2 linked regions of the Nothobranchius furzeri genome follow. The protein of the gene in region 1 interacts with the protein of each later gene in a pairwise test. Links are inferred from orthologs where the notes say so. Each region holds a gene or a part of one and is shown on either strand. Other genes may lie near its edges.

The links. The genes of interacting proteins can lie anywhere in the genome.
Region 2: the proteins of eif1ad (region 1) and stat1a interact in binary tests that used the Homo sapiens proteins (3 or more experiments, as listed by UniProt). The two-hybrid records come from large-scale screens. The link is inferred for Nothobranchius furzeri from reciprocal best matches to the Homo sapiens genes EIF1AD and STAT1.

Annotation. Positions count from the first base shown.
Region 1 is NC_091741.1:29,805,626-29,813,992, forward strand, and holds eif1ad (probable RNA-binding protein EIF1AD), read right to left. Parts: upstream 5,141-8,367; 5' UTR 4,998-5,140; intron 4,493-4,997; 5' UTR 4,473-4,492; coding exon 4,386-4,472; intron 4,289-4,385; coding exon 4,180-4,288; intron 1,977-4,179; coding exon 1,868-1,976; intron 1,797-1,867; coding exon 1,562-1,796; 3' UTR 1,333-1,561; downstream 1-1,332.
Region 2 is NC_091743.1:83,714,517-83,722,238, reverse strand, and holds part of stat1a (signal transducer and activator of transcription 1a), read right to left. Parts: coding exon 7,606-7,722; intron 3,844-7,605; coding exon 3,699-3,843; intron 3,613-3,698; coding exon 3,517-3,612; intron 3,431-3,516; coding exon 3,344-3,430; intron 3,262-3,343; coding exon 3,183-3,261; intron 3,079-3,182; coding exon 2,987-3,078; intron 2,901-2,986; coding exon 2,749-2,900; intron 803-2,748; coding exon 644-802; intron 561-643; coding exon 468-560; intron 212-467; coding exon 152-211; intron 72-151; coding exon 51-71; intron 1-50. UniProt on the Homo sapiens protein: Signal transducer and transcription activator that mediates cellular responses to interferons (IFNs), cytokine KITLG/SCF and other cytokines and other growth factors.

The DNA of each region.
Region 1 (8,367 bases):
AATTATAAACAGCCAAAAGCATGTTTCACTCTACTGGTCTAGTCCTGGTTCAGACCTGGTTTAGAGCACACGTGCACTTCCTCATTGCGTGCGCTGACGGCTCGTGCTCTTCTTATGCGCTGTGTTGAAGTTTTTTCCAACTTCCTCCACTTGCGAACCATGGACTCAGTAATGGTGAACTCTCTCGCCGCTGCTCTAGTCCCGTGTGTCTCCGCGTAGCTGATCGCTTGCAGTTTAAGCTGCTTCATAGGCGCGTCTCTCAGCAGGTGCCATTCTCAGGGTTGTCAGAACTATGTTCAGCATACCGCGCATACCTGCACTTTTGAACTACTCGGGGTCTGTCTTCGCTCACGTCCGCACGCTCACGCCACGCCCCTTGTCTTCTACTACGTTTGCGTCTCACAACAACACAATGTACGCACCGCACCATAGGGCGCGGCGTACATTGGAGAAAATTTAAGACTTTTAGGTGCGCCTTATGGTCGTGAAAATACGGTATATTGGGGACAGAATGTTGCATTGTCTAAAAGAGAAGCATGGTCACAGAATAAGGTGTGGAGTAGTCGGTGTTCCAACCCCGCCACCAGCAGTCCATCCATCCATTGTCTGAACCCGCTTCGTCCACGTAGGGCCGCAGGGGGGCTGGTGCCTATCTCCAGCAGTCAATGGGCAATCAGGCGGGGTACAACCTGGACAGAGAGCCAGTCCATCGCAGGGCAACACACACACACACACCTAAGGACAATTTAGACAGACCAATCAACCTAACAGTCATGTGTTTGGACTGTGGGAGGAAGCCGGAGAACCCGGAGAGAACCCACGCATGCACAGGGAGAACATGCTAACTCCATGCAGAAAGATCCCAGGCTGGGAATCGAACCCAGGACCTTCTTGCTGCAAGGCAACAGCTCTAACCACTGCGCCACTGTGCAGCCAAAAGCAGTCATCTGTACATCAAATGTCATGTTAACTATTTGATCGTTTACATCCAGGAATCATTGTGCTTCCACACAACTATTGAGCCAGAAACAACTCAGAGGCACTGCTGGGATTTGAACCCGGGATCTCCTGTTAGCACAGGTGCTTTGGCCACTAAGCTACAGCACCTGCTAAAGCAGTCCGAACCAGTGAATGGATCCCAGTGGTCCGTGCAAAGCAACATAGGATCGGATGAAACGGAGGCTAATGGCAGCTTTAATTTGAAAGTGGGCTGTGAAGATCTACAGCAGCTTAGAGAAGAGCAGCAATGTTCCTGCATGTTACACCAAAGCCTTTAGTGAACCAGTAAGACTTCTACCATCACCACCCTTTGACTCAGATGCTTTTACTGCTAGTGGTGAGTACGCAGCAGTAAGCAGGGCGAGTCCCAGACAGCCTGAGCAGGAATCTGAAAGCCAACAGGAGTATATCACATCTTCATATTTGATAGCTTAAACTATTTTTAAAGTAAATCAGGAAACGTTATTATTGAAAGTTCAAGTCCTCCAGCAGTGTCTCACAGTGGCCAGTAGAGGGGGCTGTGACTCAGAGCTAATGGCTTGCTGTCCTCTCACAGCTGCAGCTAAGATCCACCTTCTGTCCTTCGTCCTCCCTGCTGCTGCTCCTCCTCCTCCTCCTCCTCGCTGTCATCTTCCTCACTCTCGCTGTATTGGTAGTTACAGCGGTTTGTGTTTACAAAGAGGTCACTCTCATCATCTTCAGAGTCACTACCCTCATCCTCCTCTTTCTCCTCGGGCTCCTCTTGCCGCTTGTGGCTTGTTTTGTCTTGTGATGACTTCTCTGTGAATCCCTCTGGCCTAAGAGGAGGTGGAGGACATCATCAGACCAGAACACGTATGCTTTGCATCTTTATTTGTGCTCTGCTTACCAAAGCTGCTGTTTCTGCAGGTGCTGAATATGATCTTTGTAGAGAATAAAGCTGATTTCTGCCTTCACCTTCTCCCCCTCCTCAATGGGATCCACAATCACATAATCACCTGGAGAACAACATTTCAAACACTATTTAATATAAATAAAATTACTAACATTTAAATAAGGATTAGAAATAACTTATAATAACCCCTTCTGTTATTCTGTAGTAATACAGAACATTTCACGGCACGCACGTGTCTCACAGCTCCAACAGGAACACTTGCCAGGCCATTTCAGGAACCACATTAGTGCCTGCCTTGGAGAATGGACTTGCAAAAGGCCCAATAGAACCAATGGGCGGGACTTGTGTTTAACTCATGCCGATTGGGCAGAGTTGACAGTGATTTCTAAACAACACACACACACACACACACACACACACACACACACACACACACACACACACACACACACACACACACACACACACACACACACACACACACACACACACACACACACACACACACACACACACCTCTGTTATTTTCCATGAAGAAACCTAATCTGGTTAATTGAAGCAGAGATTTAAGAAAAACAAAATGCAGGAACAAACCTGACAATTAGAAACATTAATTTAAAGGGACTTTACGGAGTTTTGAATGTTTATGCTCGTGATTGCCCCCTCAGGCCAAAAGCGGAACGGCAGCTTCAATAGTAGGCTCGTGCACGAGGCGCGCATGCTGTACGTGCACACTCCTTAACGAAAATAACAGCTGAGACAGTCCCTTGTGTGTGTGTGTGTGTGTGTGTGTGTGTGTGGCCCGGAGGACAGAGGACAGGAGAACACGCAGCTAATTCAATAATTTGGTTCTGTACCTTTCTCTTCAGCACAGCAGACAAAGTGAAAAGTTGAACCCACATCTTTTTTATCTGTGAATTCAATGCCGTTCGGCGAGTCTCAAATAAAAATTTGGCCGTCTTACTGTAAAAAATATATCAATGTAAAAAAGAAACTCTAAATAAACTATGTTCACATCCAGAATCGAACCCAGGTCTTCTGCAGGAGAGTCAGACATCTTACTAGGTGTGCTAAAGCGCCAGTGACGTCCTTTGTATCTGTAACATTTATATCCTGTACAGCTGAAACAACGTTCAAAGAACGGTTCGGAGGGCGATGCCTGAGCGTGAACGCGCATGAAGCAGCCTGCTCGACCCGAGCATCTCTCTTTTTCTGTGATTTTACAGAAAAACAGGCAATCACAGTAAAAATGCCAGGGCTCATTCTACAGGACCAGGGCATTGCAGGAGAATGTATGAAGAAGACATTTATTATTTCTACACATGTTTTGGCTGTCACACTTCCATAATGCCCCTTTAAGTGAAGTTGTGGAAGAATTAACTCAATACTCCACTTGCCCAAAAGTAAGAATTTACTACATTAACTTGGCATAAAGAGAATTGACTTAAGATCTGTTTTCACTTGCATTGAATTATAAACACTCCAGTTGATTTTTTATCCGTTCTACTAAGCAGCATTTATATTGTGGTTCCTTGTTTTTTATATTGTTTTGCACTTACATGTGTATTTAATTCTTTCCCATTTTTGTATAATTACTTGACTTGTTTTTATATATATATTTTAAAATATTTTTATTGTTTGAAGACTTGTTTTCTTCTCCATTATCCCTCCTTTTGACATTGTACCTCTATTTTTACCTTATGTAATTTTATTGAGTAATCATTGTTTTACTTTTCTTTGCCTCCTTTCATTTTTCACCCTAGACTTCAATAAATAATCTGAACAAAAAGGAAAATCAAAAATGGGGATTATTCAAGCCAGCTGCCAGTCTTGCTTGAGCCCATGGGAATGGTATATGGCCTGTATTTGAATACCCCACAAGGTGCTTTACAACATAGTCATTCACCCATTCACACACACATTCACACACTGGTGGGGATGAGCTACGATGTAGCCACAGCTACACTGACAGAGGCGAGGCTGCCGAGCACTGGCGCCACCGGTTCCTCCCACCACCACCAGCAGGAAAGAGGGTTAAGTGTCTTGCCCAAGGACACAACAGCAGCGACAAACTGAGCAGGGCTCAAACCTGCAACCTGATTACCAATTACCATGACAGTGGTTATTTCAGTGACTCAACACACAAAGAAAGAAAACCTATCTGCCATTAAAAAATCATGAAAGACATTGAGAAATAGGAAAGATTTCAGAGAATAAAAAAAATATTTGCTCCTGGAACAAGTAGCAATGCTCAAAACTGGCGTGAGGTGTATTTATTTCTTTATTTTAAAAATCTCATCAGTTACCTCTCTTGATCCAGATGTTCTTACGGAACTTGGTGGGCATGCTCACCAGGAAGGTCTCGCCCTGAGCTGTGATTGTTTCATGGAGGTTGTTACCACGAGTACCAATAACCTGAGAATGTGCACAGGTACAAAATATAGATCCGAGTTAGAGAGGTACCTTTGAGTAGTTTTTAAAGCAGCTGGGAGCAAAAGCAAACATGGTTTACCTTTACAATCTGCTGGTTTTCTGTTGGGGTGACGAAGTCTTCCAGAACCTCTTTGACAACATGTTTGCGTTTGGTGGCCTGTGACATGATCTATACAGTTCAGCCAGCTAGGAATGAAGACAGAGGTCAAAAGGCAAGTAATAAATTATGTGATACAGACAACGTTTGTCGCACACTTTAAACAGACACCAGGTAATAGAATTGATCTACATTTGGCTTTTAGCTGAGCTAATATCAGCAGAATAGACTTCTTACACATTTTACCATGTGTATGTTCACCCTTAAACTTAACAAATACGAAACATTATACATATCCTTGTGAAATACTAACATGCCACATAAAAGTCGAACTAGTTAATATGACGTGGTTTTCCGAAAGTAAACAGTGCTGCGAAGCTAGCAAAGCTAGCTCAAACCAAGCTAGTGGGTATTCAACTTCCACGTAAACCACACATTTTCAATTGTCGTTGAAAACATAAAACCACCTTTTTGATCTATATCTTTAAGAGCTGGCGTGTTCTTATTTACTCTATTTTACATTAATGTGACTTTTAGCTGGATATGCTAGCATTTACGTCGCTGTAACATATTTTACACGGGTCGCGCTTTTACCTCGAAAACGAAGACGTAATGCTGTCCTGTGAGACAAAGCAGACTGTAGGAGCAAACAGTATAGCAAAAAAGAGCTTAGTAAGTCTATTCTTAATTATATGAGCGAAACCACATGCGTTTGAGTTATCTGGAAACACGCCGAAGAATTTCCGGTGTTTAACGGGGCTTATGTTTTCAGAATAAAAGCACCCATTTCTGAGTCTTACTCGTTTCCCACCTAATGATCGTGTAACAGGAAAGATTTCTGATAAACATGAATACAGTAGGAATCAAACTGTAGTTTACAAATCAGCCAACAGCCACTGTCTTACTAAGGTGGGTAATTGTGTGATTTAAAACCTTTTATTTTGTTAGCCCAAAAAAAATCTCTATTTAGTTCTTCCAGGGCTGATGTGGCTTGAATTGTGGACGGTTGAGTTTTATTTTAAAATGAGCAACGTTCACAATCACCCACATTTATAACCATTGCTACTACAGCATAAACCCTAACCACTCCTGTTTCATTGAAATATGTCCATAACCTTAGTTTACCATACCTTTTAAAATGTGTCATCACATTAGTAAAAATCAATAATACTAAATAACATAAAAACCCGATTACTGGAAAGCTCAGATATGCATTTATAAATTTCAAATACTACACTGAAAAAATGCATAACTTTTGTTTTTGCTCTCATTTTTCATGAGCTGAACTCAGACATCTGAAACTTTTTCTGCACCCACAAAACACCCATGACTCTCAAATTTTGTTCTGAAATCTGTCTACGTGTGTTAGTGAGCACTTTTCCTTTACCAAGATAATCCATCCCACCTCACAGGTGTGGCATATCAAGGGACTGATTAGACAGCATGAATAATGTGTAGCTGCACCTAGAAGTTAGATGCCACCCGCCAATAAACACGACGAAGAAGAAGGTAGTGTAGCCAGAAGGTCTTCAAGATGAAAGAATTGGAGGCAAACTGCAGAACAGTGAGTTTTTTTTCTTCCTTGGGAGCCAATATGCTACCCAGGCTTTTATTTCATTGCTTTTTGTTAAAGAGCAAGTCAACCCCTACCAGAGTCTATCTCCACTCTCACTTCCTGTTTGAAAAATGCAACAAATGCTGTTGCCTGGCAGACCGAGAAGACGGAGCTGCTAACAAATACACACACAGGCTCACGACAGCATTGTGACATCATAATGTACCAGTTTACATCATAGCATACCTCTTAGCCATTAGCGGTGGCAGATTTAAATCAAAATACAGTGCAGAGTTTTTACCTGACAATGGCACAACACTGTCAGTTTTAGGCAGAATATTTAAATTTTAACTAAGATGCACTGAAATGCCAAATTATTGACGACACGTGTCTACAGCACGATTAGACACTCGTTTATTTCGTTTATCAGCTAAAAAAGGTGATTTGGGGGTGACTTGCCCTTTAAGTCAGAAAAAGAATCTCCTCAAGCCTCCACATGGCTTCTTTTAAATAACATAGAAAGAAAAAAAACATGACACCTGGGAAAAATCAGCACCAATAGCCTACTCTGGATTCAAAGAAAAACATTAAATTCAAAAGGGTAATTACATGAACATACAATGAAAACCCATTACATCAAAACCAGTGCAATAGCCACATTTTAATCTGGTTAAAACATCACATACCAAAGTACCTTCAGACTATAGAAAAATATATTAAAGGGACAAATGGGGTATCATCCATACCACTCCGTCACACTTAGACTGCCCACAATAAAAGGACACCCACAGGATGTGGATTTCGGGGTGGAGTTGGGGCCTCTGGAGTGTCCCTCCGATATTGGTCAGGTGGCTATGAGGATGTGGCAGGCCTCCTGGGATGTGGGGAGCACTGGGTGGCTCTATAATGTTTTACAAAGACGAGTGGCTGGTCGTGGGTGGGATATTTTCCGTAAGAGGTGAGCCTGGTGGTCATGACCAGGCTGCGGCTAGGACATAGCTGCCTGAGGGGAGAAGTTGTTTCTGGTTGGTAAGTACCCAAATGGCAGGTGGGAGTGTGGAGATCTGGAGACGGTTAGGCATGTTCTTCTGAGGTTCAGCTGATACGTGGTGGAGTGGCAGACTTTGTTTCAGGCTTTGGGTGCGTTGGAGGTTACTGTTCAGTCTGAGGACATTATTGGAGGTTGCGGAGTGGCGCAGGGTGGAGGCGTTATGTTTTCTACGGGCGGTTGGAGTCTATGACAAGCTGTAGCCAGGTTTGGCTGTAGGCTTAGTGCTGCTGTGGCAGCAATACGCCGCAAGGCATCCAGCCTGCCTTACCCAAAGAAGAAGAAGGCCACCCTGAAATGTGCAGTTTGATTAAACAGCACAATGCCACAGATGTTGCAACCTTTGAGGGAGTGGGCATGCTGACTGCAGGAATGTCTACCAGAGCTGTTGTCCATGAAACGAGTGTTCATTCTCTACCATAAGCCGTCTCCAAAGGCGTTTCAGAGAATTTGTACATCCAACTAGTACATCCAAGCGGCCTCACACAATCAGACCACGTGTGACCACACCAGCGCAGGACCTTCACATCCAGCATGTTCACCTCCATAATCGCCTCAGACCAACCAGCTGGACAGTTGCTGCAACAATCGGTTTGCATAACCAGAGAATTTCTGCACAAACTGTCAGAAACCATCTCAGGAAAGCGCATCTGCATGCTCGTCATCCTCATCGGGTTCTGGACCTGACTGCAGTTTGTTGTCGTAATCGACTTAAGTAGACAAACACTCACATTCAATGGCTTTTGACACGTTGGAGAGGCATTCTGTTCACAGATAAGTCCCGGTTTATACTGTTTAGGGCAGATGGCCGACTGCGTGTGTGGCATCATGTGGGTGAGCGGTTTGCTGATGTCAACATTGTGGAACGAGTGGCCCATGGTGGCGGTGGGGTACTGGGATGGGCAGGCGTGTGTTATGGACAACAAACACAGGTGCATTTTATTGATGGCAGTTTGAATGCAGAGAGGTACCATGGCGAGATCCTGAGGCCCATTGTTGTGCCATTCATCCATGACCTTCACCTCATGTTGCAGCATGATAATGCACGGCTCCATATTGCAAGGATCTGGGCACAATTCCTGGGCGCTGAAAACATCCCAGTTCTTGCATGGCCAGCATACTCACCAAACATGTCACCCATTGATGTGTTGCCCTGCGTAGGCAAATGGTGGCCACACCAAATACTGACTGGTTTTCTGCCCCATCAACCCCCATAAAGCAATTCTGCGCACATGTCAGGGTGTCCTTTTATTGTGGGCAGCCTAAGGCACACCTGTAGATTATTCATGTTGCCTAATCAGCCCTTGATATGCAACACCTGTGAGGTGGGATGGTTGGTAAAAGAAAAGTGCTCACCAACA
Region 2 (7,722 bases), on another chromosome or scaffold:
ACTTAGTTGGATAGATTTCTTATAAACAAGTCAAAACGTTAGACACTTACCCTTTTTTGTCTGCGACATCCCTAAGGGGAAGAAAACATCCATATTTAGAAATGTATGGGTCTGAAAATGTGGAACGTGTGGAAACAGGAGATGATCTTACTTATCAAAAAGAGCTTTGACTTTGAGTTGGTAGTTAAACTCTTGAAGCTTCACCAGAAACCTGAAGGGGGAAAAACAGGAAACTAATCTCAGAAATGCACGTTTATTAAGGTCAAACCTTTCTGCTTTTGAAACTAACGGGAAAAGAGCAGCTCAGTCAGCGTTCGCTCTCTGCAGCAACTCCAGTTAGCTTTAAGACATGAGTTCTGATGGGCACGTGTTAAAGAGGCCCTTCTCTGGCTTGACTCGTGTAAATATTTGTTTCTCAGCTGAAATTCTGTATGATTCTGTTTTCATGGTTTGGTTTAGTTTCCTACCGGAGTTTCACGGTGAACTGGACGCCTGTTTTCAGCACCATGGGTCTCTGTGGGTGGGTGGGCATGCAGGGCTGTCTCTCTATGACCAGTGAGCTACACACACACACACACACACTCATCAATATTGAATACAGACAACAGCGAGATTGCTAACCGATTTATTTGAGGTTTCCTACCTGGAGAGGAGGGTCTTGAGGAGCTCCAGAGCTCGGCTCTCCAGAAACACTTTCTTCTGAGGGATGGGGTCGTTCTCATACGTGAAATTTTGCTCCAACTCATGCATCTTCTTCAGGTGTTGACGCACCTGCTGGAGACTCTCAGCGACTGCTGTGAACCTGCAGCAGGGTGTTTGAGAGTTGAAGCTCCTCCAAGCCTGATCACTTCCTGCTCTCCAGCATGTTTAACATCTCATCAGTTTCAATGTGAATAAAACTGATCAGATTAATGAGGAGCAATGACTGTTACGACCCAGCTCATAAGGCCGCAACATAAAACAAAAACTGAACACATTCGAGAGCTTTGAGTATTTTTTTTTTTTTTATTAAATGTAGCCTATAACCCTCCCTCTGTCTTTATGGGTGACCCCGCGAGGAAAGTTGGCCAATGAGCAGGATTGATGGTTTATCCCTTGAGGTCCACGTGGCAGGGGTGAGGAGTGAGCACCACCTCACCCCTGCCACGTGGACCTCAAGCATCAAACAGTCATCAAACAGGACAGAGAGGAAGAAAGTCGTAGGCCAGCTATTAACAACTGGTTCACACCATAGGTTCACACACACACACACACACACAAACAGCAAGGGGGAGGGGGGTGTAGAGGAAAAGAGAAAAGGCGGAGAGGAAATGGAGGACACCAAGTGATTAAAAGAAAAACTACGAGGCGCGCCTCGACCGGAGCGGAGAAACAAGCGTCTGGTCGGAACTGAGGAGCAGCGACCGAATTACGTGAGCACTTCGCCTCCCGGCGCTTCGGCGGCCGGTGTGTCCCCGGCGTAACTTAGGCTGGACCTTCTACTGTGGCTCTGAGTAACTTTAGTTACAGTTACTTTAAACAATCAACTGATTTTATAAATATAGACAGGCCCACTGTAACATAATGAAGGTTTAAGCAGCTTTTTAAAGTTTTCACTGAATATTTGTGCTGACTTTCCACAACAGAATGACAGTAAAAGTACCAGTAACGTCTTTAGACGTATTTATGTTTATTTTCCACTAATAACATCTCACTGAGAACAGATCCATACTGTTTTGCAAGTTTTTCTTCTTCTTGATTTCAAATCTCTTATAAAACATGTAGGGAAGACGTGCCTATAGGGTTTAGCCTGCATGCACCTGAAACAACAACCGCAGCAGCTTGTCTGCCAGAATCTTCTTTAGGTAAGGATGAACCTGTCTAATTACTGGGAAAGCTGTTTTTGACCAACACTTGATTGAACTCAACTTCCCGCCCCCTCCAAAAAAAAAGAACACAAGCCTCGGGAGACATCAGTTAAGGCTGAAACTGAAAGGAGACAAACCTGCTAATGTTCTGGACAGAAAACTGACGTATCTGGAGGGGATTTTGATGATTTTACGAACTTTTAAGTTCCAACCGCTGCCAGATGTTGAGGCGACAGTAGTGGCGGCGCCGTGATATCGGCTACCGCAGCGTTTTTCCCCTAGCTGTCTCTGTGACTGTGATTGGTCAAATGGCAACTCGTGACCCACTAACAAAGATGGTTTGTGAAGAGGATGAACACTCCTCATTTTTCTGAAACTGATTCTTATAAAGAGCGACTAAAATCCGACCAGACTCGCCTTCCCTAAAACAAAAACTCTTTGATTCATGTGAACGCATTTTTTTTCATAAGCGGCAATTTTCGCTGAAAAGCGTCAAGTTTGCAAGTATGAGACGAACGTATTTTAAAATCACGTCATACGACCCAAATTTAAGACTTTACTAAATCGATTTAAGACTTTTAAGACTTTTTAAGACCCTGAATCAGGACCACACCAAGCCCCTCTGGTCTGGTCTGGTCACCTTCATTTAAACCCTTCATCTTAATTGACTTGGATTGATATTACCACTAATTTTAGGGATTTGGGGGAAAATTCAGGTTCCATTAGATCCAAAAACTACCATAATCTCCAACCTTGTGTATTATTCTGATACTTCTAGATCCAGATGTCTGTCAGATGTGAACTCCAGCTTGATGCCTTCTCCTGATGTCTCAGATTTCTTGGTAACTCAACAGAAGAAAATAAAGTTTATCTGAAGCTTCTGGGACAACAACGGTCTCACCAGTTCTGCAGCTGGTCCACGCAAGCATTGGGCGGACCGCCAATGCACGCTATCTGCTGCCGCTGCTTCCACTCTGGCAGCTCCTCGGAGATCAGGTCGGTTATCAACCCCTGGATGACATTCAGCAGTTCATTCAGGTACACCACAGCATCCTGGGACACGTGCAAGAAGGCACGGAGTTTTAGAAGGTTTGGACTCAGCTTTCTACTATCATAAAACTGTGGATTAAGAATCTCACGTGGCGTTTGGCTTTCAGTTCAAGGCACATCTTCATGATGACTAACTTCTCTGCCTCCAGCTCCTTTGGCGTCATGCCGTTCACGTCGTTCTCTGCAGGTGATGGACATAACCAGACATCAGCTTCACTCAAACATCAGAACAAGCCACTTCAGTCTAAGTTTCCTTGTTCTTCTGGGTCATCTGCACTTTCCTACCTCTGTTCTTCAGCGTGTTGAATTGGAAATCGTATTCATCCTGCTGGTCCTCCAGATTCTTCAGGTTCTGGTCGATAATCTGAACAAAGGAAACTCTCCTTTAGCTGTGGTAAAGGAACAGCAGAGATTATTTAAATGTGGCTGAAACGTGTTTGTTTCACCTGAACAATGTTTCTCATCTCCTTCACTTTGTTGTCCAGCTTCTGCTTCTCCACCACCATGGCTGAAACCGTCCCCTCCTTCTCCTGCTGCAGAAGCATTGTCAAATTCATGATTAAAGCATCTTTAAATAAAATCTAGATGGATTAAAGCAGAGTCTAGCTGCAGGTCTTACCACAGAATCCTTTGCATTGGCCAAGATCTTCTGCTCCTCTTTCAAGTTTCTGGAGATGATCATGGCCATATGGAGGGCGTCCTCCTGAAACCGATCCTGGAGAAACAAGTGCTCCATGTTTACGCAGTCACTTTCTTAGTTTTAACTCACTCTGACACGAGTAGAGAACGTGGGGCTCTGACCTGCAGGTTCCTCTTGATCTTACGGAAGTTGTGCTGCTGCAGGAAGTTGTTCTCCAGAGCAAAGCGGCTGTGCTGATCATCCAGCTGAGCCAGGAGCTCGTGAAACCGAACAGTTGCCAGGGAGTCCTGTGATGCCACCGTATCCCTAAGAAGATCCAAAACAACAACGGAGTTATCTTACAGAGGTCCCACCACGGTTACGCCAGATGTTGAAGGGCACCGTTCATAAAAGCTTTATTTATAAAACATTTTAAACACCTACAGCACCAAAGTGATGTGTAGAAAAATAATAAAACAGGCTACGTAATAAAAATAGTTACAGCAAAAAGACCTACAAGTAAGGAAAAATAATTATGCAATCAGTCAAGATAAAAATGAAAAGTTTAATAAAAAAAAAAAGAAAAACAATTTAAAGCTAATGCCTTTTGTAGGGTTAGGGTTAAACAAGATGGGGTTGAGGACTGCCTGATGTCCAAGGGAAGGTGGTTCCATAATTCAGGAGCAGTTAAAGCAAAGACATGGTCTCCACTGAACTTACAGTTTCTCCTGCATAGGCGCAGGAGTGGAGCTGCACCACGGCTGAAATTCTAGCACCACATCTACGAGACACCCCCCACAGGAGACGCAGCATTGTAGCATTTTGCGAGCAGAACCCAGGCGACATGACTGGCAACAATTCTAGGGGAAACACTGACTTACGCTTTAGGGCTGCAACAAACGATTATTTGGATAATCGATGAATCGGATGGGGTCTCGACACGATTAATCGGATTACATAGGGACAATTTTAAAAACTGCTAGGGAAACGTTATTTCTCTCCTTCCTTCACTTTATTAAACACAACATTATTAGAAAACAGTTCAATAGCAGAAAAACAACATGCCATCACCTAAATTGTCTTACAAGGTGTATAGGCAGAGACCCTAAGCTACACCTATCTGTGACCTAAAATGCTTGGTCCAAGTTAAACAGCTTAAAGAGCAAGTCAACCCCTACCAGAGTCTAACTCCACTCCCACTTCATGTTTGAAAAATGCAACAAATGCTGTTGCCTGGCAGACCGAGAGGGCGGAGCCGCTAACAAATACACACACACTCAGGCTCACGACAGCATTGTGACATCATAATGTACCAGTTTACATCATAGCATACTTCTTAGCCAATAGCGGTGGCAGATTTAAATTAAAATACAGTGCAGAGTTTTTACCTGACAACGGCACAACACTGCCAGTTTTAGGCAGAATATTTAAATTTGAACTAAGATGCACTGAAGTAGAGCTGCTCGATTATGGCAAAAATAATAATCACGATTATTGTGACTGAAATTGAGATCTCGATTATTTAAGACGATTTTTCTATTTATGTTGATTTTATTTGTTTTTATTCAGTCATAAAATTGCTCAGGGCACAATCAGGACAAAATAAAGTTAAAGTTAAAGTCCCATTAGTTGTCACACACACTGATGTGTGTGCGAAATTTGTTCTCCGCATTTGACCCATCCCCTGGGGGAGCGGTGAGCTGCAGACACAGCCGCGCTCGGGAACAATTTGGTGGTTTAACCCTCCAATCCAACCCTTAATGCTGAGTGTCAAGCAGGGAGGCATTGGGTCCCATTTTTTCAAAGTCTTTGGTATGACCCGACCAGGAATCGAACCCTGATCTCCCAGTCTCAGGGCGGACACTCTACCACTAGACCACTGAGCTGGTGTGTGATAAGAAACAAGATGATCACTAAAATAACTCCTGATTCCCAGTATAAAAAGACCAATATACTTACAGCTCATAGTTTATGACACAAGGGCTATAGACCTTGGTTTAACTCATATAAGTCTAACCAGTACAGACCCAAATACCAATATCTTGCAAATACTGACAGCAAGAATTATACAGTGGCATTTATAACAAATAAATGCAAATAAATTGATGTTCACAAAATGTTGTATAACATTTATTGAGTCGTGTCAAGGTGCTGTAGGAGCGTGCACTAGCACTGTCTCCTCAGAGAGATTAGTTATTGTTTATCAGCGTGAGGAACTTATTTCTACCTTATTTATAAACTAGTTATTTACAAGTCCATCAGTTAATGTAATAATTGTCCCAACCACAGCTGCACCCCCCACCTCCCAACCCGGTCTCACAGCAATCAGGGGCAAGCTGCACGTGTGTTTAGCGCGCCGCACGCGCACATTTAGCCGTTTTTAGCGGCTCAGAAGTTACAGTGTGTGTGTCACTCACTCTGGTTAATCCAACAGAGCCAACTCTGAGAGCCGTTTCTGTAGCGACCGACACATCACTACATCATTCCCTTTCCTAATGTTGTGAAGAACGGTCCGGAGCTCAGGCAGAGTGTTTAGCTAACCTGCAGGAAACATCAACGACAGTTATCCTGAAAGTAGCTAAAGGTTACCAGAGATGTTTCTGAGATGTTCGCTAGGTACTTTTAAGATTTAAAAAGTCAAGAAGGGGGTCTAAAAAGCTGTTAGAAATAGCGTCAAAGTCGCTAAGTTGGCAACACTGTGAGGAGCGCTTCATTTGCAACTCAGGGCAGCGCAAGTGGGAGGAGCAAATAATCGGCTTGTTTTGTTTTTTATAATCGTTCAAAACTCAGATCGTAATCGTGATTAAAATTCGATTAATTGAGCAGCCCTACACTGAAGTGCCAAATTATTGACGACACGTGTCTGCAGCACGATTAGACACTCATTTATTTAGTTTATCAGCAAAAAATAAAGTTTATTTGGGGGTGACTTGCTCTTTAAGGGCAATTCTCATCTGTTTTGTTTGATCTCATCTGCAGACATTTATTATAATTGGGGATGTTAAACAACTAATTTTTAAATGTAATTAAACATAGGCTGTGAATTAATCAAAATTAATCACTATTTCCAAAAATGACTGAAAAAATACCAAATAAAACAAAAGTAAATGAATGCCATCCTCCTTACGATGATGCCCTGGGCAACTGCCATAAAGTCACATCAAGAAATGCTGCTGATCATTCCAATGATCCCAAATAGACTCACATTAGGCCACATGAAAGCAACTGAACCCAAAAATATATTAACCAGTAAATAACTGCACTCTCACACAACACGCCTGCAGCAACAGTTAGGACTCCTCCCTCCCTTTTAAAAGCGTTTTCGCTTCTGAGGACATTGTGGTGCTAGTAGTCTGGCCCCGGTGTGATCAACCAGTTTCTGCGGGAATGTGACGGCGGAACCGGTTCGCAGCAGCGCGAGTCCCCCCCCCCCCCCCCTTTATCTAATAGCGTTGCGCTTACGATTTTATAGACTTTTTTTAACGAGCTTAGGGCATGTCTAGCCTGTGTAATAATCCGGGACTTGGGTGAATCACTTTTGAAAAGTTTTTAACTTACCCGGACAAAGAGCTCTCTCCCTCCTCGCTGATGATTCCGACATGCTTGCTTTTAAGATGCTGCATCATCACTGCAGTACTCCCGTGCCATGCTAAGTCTGACCTACAAACGTTGCAGGTAACGAATGTCTTCGCCTGATTTAACTGAAAATGCTCCCAAACTTTAGAAGTTTTTACTTTTTTGGGTCTTGCTGCTTCTGCCATGTTCCTCTTCCAAACACCTGCCGGCTCTCCCTCGCGCTGATCTGACTTGCTCCAGTCTGCGCGCAATGGCGGCCAGGAGGGGGGGCTTTTGGAAGAGTTGTGCGACACAACGAATCGATGACGCAATTCGTTGCCAACGCTTTTAGTAATCGATTTTCATCGAATTTATCGATTCGTTGTTGCAGCCCTATTACGCTTCATCCATATCACTCTCAGAAGCAGCTGATCAGCTGACCAAAGGGGACAACATGATTTGCAGGGACGCAGCAGCCCCTTATTTAGTTTTCTACCCGGACAGTGATTTTCCATCTAGGGTTGGACTTCTTACCAGTCGATGCTCTCAATCCACCTGCTCAGATATTGTCGGATGTCCATGGGGAAGGAGTCGTCGTACAGCTGGTCCACCTGCTCCAGGTACTTAGAGTCCAACATCTGAAGCTGGACC